Daphnia pulex: one gene and its partner. The protein of the gene in region 2 purifies or fractionates together with the protein of the main gene of each other region. This does not show direct contact. Links are inferred from orthologs where the notes say so. Each region holds a gene or a part of one and is shown on either strand. Other genes may lie near its edges.

Region 1 (3,479 bases), about 580 kb from region 2:
TTGATTTGACTGAATTCCAGACCAATTTGGTCCCGTACCCTCGTATCCATTTCCCACTTGTTACCTACGCCCCCGTCATCTCCGCCGAAAAAGCTTATCATGAGCAGAATTCCGTTGGAGACATCACCAACGCTTGCTTCGAGCCGGCCAACCAGATGGTCAAATGCGATCCCCGTCACGGAAAGTACATGGCTTGCTGCATGTTGTACCGTGGTGATGTCGTCCCCAAGGATGTCAATGCTGCTATTGCCACCATCAAGACCAAGCGTTCCATTCAATTCGTTGACTGGTGCCCAACTGGTTTCAAGGTAGTATTTTTATAGCAATTGCCCACAGGCTGGTTCTCATTGATTTCTTTCTCCTCGTTAGGTCGGTATCAATTACCAGCCCCCAACTGTCGTTCCTGGTGGTGATTTGGCCAAGGTTTCCCGTGCCGTTTGCATGTTGTCCAACACGACTGCCATCGCCGAGGCCTGGGCTCGTTTGGATCACAAGTTTGATCTGATGTACGCCAAGCGTGCGTTCGTCCATTGGTACGTTGGTGAGGGTATGGAGGAGGGAGAGTTCTCTGAGGCTCGTGAAGATTTGGCCGCTCTCGAGAAGGATTACGAGGAGGTAACAATTTTGATTACGATTTACCCCCCTAGATGATTTTATAATTTATTGTTTGTAAAACAGGTCGGTATGGATTCCGTCGAAGGCGAGGGAGAAGGTGGCGATGAATATTAATTGAAAATTATCATTCCTTGTTAACCAAGAAAAACATGTACCCCTTTTATCTAGTGGCAGGTGCTTGTTGCTTGCTTTCTAGTGTTTCTCGTCTTAATTGCTCTATTTATTTAGAGCGTTTAAAGCCAATATGATACTTCTCGCGTTAAATCCTCTTGTCAATGTTTTATTTCGAACGTCTTTTGGTCAGTTAGTCAGCAATATTTTTCAGCTATGAAAAAGATAATTAAGGATTGTCCATTAATGCAAGTAAAAGATAGTTAAGAATTGTCCATTAATGCAAGTATAAGCATATTTTGGAATATCTGGTATCTGTGATATTAAAAACAGATGAATTTATTATTAAGTGTGTAGCTGGTAGAAAACGTAGTGGTCTTCAACATCTGTATGCGTCATGTTTTTGACAAACACACATGTGACCCCTTTACAGAACATCAATAAAATTGCCGCATAGTTTAAGTTGACTTGAAGTGTTGTGAATGCCAACTGCATCGTAAACTTAGGTAACAGCTGCATCAGCATCTGCTTGTTTAGTTCCACAGACATTCACCAGTAAATGCGAAATATTTGAGTAGGTTATTTATCCACTACCACAAAAAAATATGGAATAATAAACGACGAAACTTTAGCTAAAAATAAAAAAAATAATAATTATAATTCCCGCACGAAATTTACAAAAAAATGAACGACAACGTCACTTCTGTCTGTCAAACGCAGGGGATAACGCGGATTTTGGAATAAAGAGAAGGTAGGGGAATGGGTTTATGGGTGCCCGTGCGGCCGGCATGTCTGCTAGACTCCGCCTACTTTTTACTTGATGTTACCAGCGTTGTCTGATCGGAGTGTTGTTGTGTCTCGCCCCGTTTTTTGGAGAATTTTTTCTGTTTCTTCTGGAGCCAAAATATGGCGTCGGATGGCAATGAGTACTTTTCGGTCGGAAGTCTAGTTTCGTGCAAAACATGCCATAATCAAGTGATCGAAGGCGAAGTCCTCGCCTTTGATCAACCTACCAAAATGCTGATTCTCAGTAAGTTTACCGGCTCTTTTAACTTAACCGATAACTCACGCTCTTGTCGGCTACTTGTCACGCTCATACTTTTTTTTTCCTTGGCACACGCTGTTTGTTTAACTATAAACTCGTTTTTCAAACTGTGCAACTCATTTTCTTCCTTCTTGTTGTTAGGGATATTTGAATTCAGTCTAATAATAGACCTCTGCTCTTTTCAGAATCACCTTCTTCGTGTGGAAGACCCTCTGTCAACGATGCACATGTTGTAAATCTTGGGCAAGTGAGTGATGTTCAAGTAAAGAGAGAGGCAACTTCTTCTCCACCTCCCCATCCAGTTCAGAATGTCGAAAGAGTAAGTTTTAAATACTATTTACTTTTATCAATCATGCTATATACATCTTTTATCCTCGATTGGTAGCTGAAGAAAAGGGTGCGTATGGAAGTAGAAAGAAAACAACACATGATAACTGCCCTGGAGTCTGGTGTTTCTCCTGAAGGGCTCAAGCTGTTTAATGCTGTCAAACGAACGTGAGGATAACAGCAGGGAATCAGAGAAACAACATAATCTATTGTTTATAAAAATTAACTACAGGATTGAGGATGTTGCATGGGAAGGCAAAAACATTCGAGTCATGGATCAAGTGACAATTAGTCCCCCGTATCATCCAGAAAATGTCCAGGGCAATATGGAAAAGGCTGTGAACCATGTTAGAAAAATTGTGAGTGTCTGGATTAATCACTACTATACATCAAATAAGCTAAGATTTTATTTTCTTGTTATAGGTTGAAAAGTACATGAAAGACCATTCAGATACAAAAGGAGGAAGCAGTGAAAACAGTAATACATTAGCTTCTCCGTGAAATCAGGCAAAATATGGCCCCACTCTTTTCACGACGACCAGTACCATTTTCTCCATCCTGCTTCACCATCTTCTCAAAAATTCTAGATAATAAATAAATACAACAACTTCAAACAAGCAAAGAGAATGCTGGTTCTTCACAGCTGTAAAATACGTCCGATTAAAAAATACTTGATGATTTTCGGAGCGTGTAGTGGCGTATGAAATGGCGAGATGATATACAATGATAACTTCTTGTTTACTTTCATTGAGTTTTTATTTTAAGTACTTATATTGAGTTAAATTATTATTGCTGTAGCCAACTGATTTCAATTGGCCTTGGCAAATTGGATTTTGTGTGATACTGCATTTTTTGTTCTGATTTAGACCACTTTTCACTCGGCCAGTACAACTTAGTAATTTTTTATATTATTCGTTTTCTTATCAATCAATAAGCAAGTTGTCGAGTTCTTACTATTTTTATCTAAGTAAAATACTTCAACAAACAATTCCTTCAATTCCTTCTCATGAGATTACAATGTCACAGCTGAGCTGACCGGGTTATATTTGTTAAGTAAAGGGAATATTGATTTTGTCAAATGCTGATGCTTCTGAGATAACGCCAACCCGAATCACGGAATCATCATATTTATAACAAAATTCAAGATTTTTTTCCCTTTTTTTAATTTTATTTCGATTAACTTTAAAACTGGTCGCTAGGTGGTGCTCATTCAATTTTCATTTATTTTATAAATGTCAAGTTGAAGTTAGTGATTTTCTTTTTGAAATTGACAAATTCATTTCTGAACAAATATATAAATTTTTTTAATATCCTAAATAAGTGAATAGTATAAATTAAATTCAGATCCCATTATAAATCTGTGACCGAGGTAAAAATATGG
Region 2 (3,758 bases):
ATGCGATCTAACCCATGTTTCAATTTTCTCTAACCCAGTTACACTTACCTTAACGATTCAAAATATATCCAACAAGTAGAAAACGATGCATCAATTTTGATGCTGGAAATTTTTCTCAACTAGAATTCAATTTTCAATCGTCAACATCAGCAGACGACTTAAAACGTGCCTTTCGTTTAGTCCTACCGGCCGACCGACAAGTTCTGTGTAACTGCTGAAAAAATACCCCCATTCGAATCACAAAAATGCTTTACTTAAAAATATATCTAAAGCTTTAGATAATTTATTGTAAATGAATTTCAACAAAGCATAATAAGTTTAATCGTTATGTCGAGGCAACATCGGGTTATCGACTTATCGTGGAGATGTTGTTTAGCAGCACTGTTCTCGTCGTCTTCTTTTGTTTTCAAAAACACAACCTATGGTTCGATGATCTCTGGTTTTTCGTTTGGCTCATTGATGAACTGCTCAGTTTTTTATTTGCATTACAAGGCAAGAGTAGGACTTCTTTTCTCTATTGCAGGTACTAAAGGATTTTATGTGTCGTGCTGAATGTGAATCATGACCACAAAGGAAGACAACAACCATGGACAATTTTTATTGGTATGTATACCTCTGCTGTGCTTGCACTATGTGATTAAAATTTTACTAATTTTTTAAATAATTAAATTTAATTCCAATCTTTGAGATACCTTTGAATTAACTTCTTTCCTTGTTCCAAATTCCATAATACAGAAAGTAGTTGGACAGTGGACAAATAGGCCTGTCATTCCCTACAACTAGATCTTGTTGTGTTTCGTTTGGTCTTGCTTTATGTGATAATTAATGCTGGTTGTAGAGTTGTTTATTTTTGTTATTTTGTATAAAATAAACAAAAAATTTGAAATTTAGCAATATTTCACAATGCCCGTTTATTAGCTTTAGATCTTTACCGCTAGATGACCTAGGAAAGTTGACTAAAAAGCCACCTATGAGACGATTGTACAAGTTTGTTGAGAAAACCCTCGCAACGTCTCATTTGCTACGCGCTTAAAATAGATCCTTCATCAATTCCACATTATCTTCATCGATTCATCTGCGAGAAACGACGGGCATTGAATCATTTCGAATTTTGTGACTGGAAAAGAGTTTTAGCCCGCTGAGAAAACTAGTCTCCAATCGGATTTGGATACCAACTCTTGAGATTCAGAGGTACCTCACTTTTTGGTTCCCCAGTGGTGGCCATATGTATTAGATTCACTGAACATAGGCAAGACACAGAATGACTTCTTGATGGTGGTGGATTTTTCACGTCCTCAGGTCTAAGAACGTTTTCTTTGGCGAATTAAAATTTCTACCCGTTCCTGTGACGGAAAGAAAGCAAACACTACCCCCTACGGAACTCATCGGCCGCAAGTTGAACATTAAGCCTCGCTTTTCTACACGCAGATTTGAACGACAAAAGGGTAACGTCGTGCGTGAAAAACCGGCCCCACACAAATTACTCGTCCGGCTCACGAGATCGCAGACTCTCGTTTCCTTTTCTACCCCGAGTGAGCCCAGAACTCGACCGTCAACGATTTCTTTAGAAACCAGGGAATTGTACATTTTCAAGGTAATGATCAGTTACTGTAATCAATCACCACACAAGTTTTGAGTTGAACCCGTCTTTTCTTACAGGCTGTTATTGGGGTTTTGTTAATTGTATGAGTATTCAAGAGTCTACTTTTCATCGGAAGTAGAAATTCTGGAGGGCAAACACAATGAATAAGTCTAAAGCAAAGATGGGCAAACCCTCCACCCCTCAAAATACATCGGGGAACTGCAATGTTGCTGTAACAAATCGCAACACACCACCTTCTAGAAACAAATCGGACAAAGATATCCCATATGAAGGCATTTACCAGAATTTAAGATTTTGTGAAACAATTACTTCCCTCATGGGGAATACAGTTCAGGTATGGTAAATTGTATGACCTTGTAGTCCACAATTTTAGGTTCAACTTGTTTTGTGTTTCAGATCCAACTTTCGAATGGGAAAATATTTGAAGGAATTTTTAGCACGTTTTCTCCTCAGTTAGAAGTTGTTTTAGAACTGGTTCATACAGTTGACCCCAGCCAACCTGATAAAATTGATGTTAAATCAGTTTCTAGGGAGGTTGTCTTTGGTTCCCAAATGATTGTGATGATGAGCTCCAAAGATGTAGAACTGGACTATGCCACTAAAGGTACACTGCTTCAAATAATGACTGCTTTTGCATAATTCATGCGCACATCACTAATGTTTGAAATTCTTATTTCAGATTTTGCCACTGATACTTCCATAAGCCGTTTTAATGGGCTCAGTGGAGAAAAAGAGCTTGAACCCTGGGAGGGTGATGGTGATGATTGTAACATTTCACTGGATAATGCGGTAATTTAAAGCAATTATTATTGTTTTGTACGCATAAAATTTACTGTTTCTTTTTTAAAATTTAGAATGGATGGGATCCTAATGAAATGTTTGCCAGAAATGAAAAAGTATATGGAGTTCAAACTAGTTTTGTGGAGGATTTGTCACAGTATACGTGTAAACTAGAAAGGAGGGACTCTGCCGAATTCAAGTAAAATTGGATTTTTATCCTCGACAATCGTGTAATCGTTAATTAAGCTAATATTTTTTTTAGGGAAAGAGAAGCTCAAGCATCTATCCTGGCTAATAGTATCGAAGGAAACGCTGTCTCTAAAGCGCATGCGGACCTTGAAAACGCCAGTGACGAAGAAGAAAAGTTTTCGGCCGTGGTAAGACCTAGCCATGAGTCTCGTGAACGCCGTGAGCCCCGAGACTTCCGAGACTTTAGTAATCGTTCGTCTGACCGAGGCGGGAGCACAATGGGTGGCAGCGGAGGAGGTAGCACAACTTCTGCTAATGCCGGCGGAGGTAGTGCCCACAGCTGTACGTAAACAAATTCTGTCTTTCATGCAAACGAACTGCCTTATTAAAGTTTCGATTTTTTTTTTCATGCAGCCAAATATGTTCATCCAAATAAGCGGCCTATTAAAAGCGCCATCAACCAAAACATGGGCAAGATGATGCGCTCGACGCCCCCTCCCCACGGTGCTCACGGAGGACACGCTCACCCCAACCTAGCTCCGAGACATCAGTCGGTAGGCGGAGGAGGTGGTGGTGGAGGTGGATCTTACCACGGTGGCAACAACTACGATGGTGACGGTAGGGGTGTTGGTCACACTTCGCAGTCGCACCCGAACAACTCGGGTCCAGTACACCACGGAGGTGGAAGTTATCACCAAGGCGGGCCACAGCATCAGCCATTCCAAGGATCTTCGCAAGGGCGGGGCTCGTCTTCCGGTCCCTACTATGGTCGTTCCCAAGGACCGCCTGGTGGTTATAATAACAATAAAAATTCTGCTCAACAATCAGATTCTCGCGTTGCGAACGGCGATGAGCGCAAAGTCAACCGCGATTCGGCTTACGATTCGAAAAGCGGTCACGCTCCATCTCATTCACACGCCCCTATTTCCTCGTTGCCACAACGCGATCATGGTCCGAAGGAACAGCGGAAGAACTATGCTGGTAAGCACAATCTTGTGCATTCCGAAGTGAAACAAAACTCTAAAAGTTTCTATCTAAAACCAGGCAAAACCAGAGACGATCAAAACTCGGATCTGAAGAAGTTTAGTCAAGATTTTCGCCTGGCTGAAAACGCCGCTGGGGATGAGAAGAAAGCAACTCCTTCTCCTACTGCAGGAAACCCAGCTCCGGCGCCCAATAAAACAAG

The links. Proteins that work in one complex are often made in the same cells at the same time.
Region 1: the proteins of ataxin-2-like (region 2) and protein LSM12 homolog A-like purify together in Homo sapiens (affinity purification with mass spectrometry; 4 studies listed by BioGRID and IntAct, with this or other methods). This does not show direct contact. The link is inferred for Daphnia pulex from reciprocal best matches to the Homo sapiens genes ATXN2L and LSM12.

What each region holds. Positions count from the first base shown.
Region 1 is NC_060021.1:9,119,638-9,123,116, reverse strand, and holds protein LSM12 homolog A-like, read left to right. Parts: upstream 1-1,510; 5' UTR 1,511-1,632; coding exon 1,633-1,756; intron 1,757-1,956; coding exon 1,957-2,090; intron 2,091-2,156; coding exon 2,157-2,266; intron 2,267-2,330; coding exon 2,331-2,457; intron 2,458-2,521; coding exon 2,522-2,599; 3' UTR 2,600-2,839; downstream 2,840-3,479. Other genes in the region: tubulin alpha chain, testis-specific-like, read left to right, coding at 1-308, 370-615, 679-729. UniProt on the Homo sapiens protein: Nicotinic acid adenine dinucleotide phosphate (NAADP) binding protein. Confers NAADP sensitivity to the two pore channel complex (TPCs) by acting as TPC accessory protein necessary for NAADP-evoked Ca(2+) release.
Region 2 is NC_060021.1:9,703,502-9,707,259, forward strand, and holds the start of ataxin-2-like, read left to right. Parts: upstream 1-977; 5' UTR 978-1,191; intron 1,192-1,249; exon of another isoform or gene 1,250-1,428; 5' UTR 1,429-1,594; intron 1,595-1,659; 5' UTR 1,660-1,742; coding exon 1,743-1,937; intron 1,938-1,999; coding exon 2,000-2,207; intron 2,208-2,282; coding exon 2,283-2,392; intron 2,393-2,457; coding exon 2,458-2,582; intron 2,583-2,645; coding exon 2,646-2,914; intron 2,915-2,986; coding exon 2,987-3,758. UniProt on the Homo sapiens protein: Involved in the regulation of stress granule and P-body formation.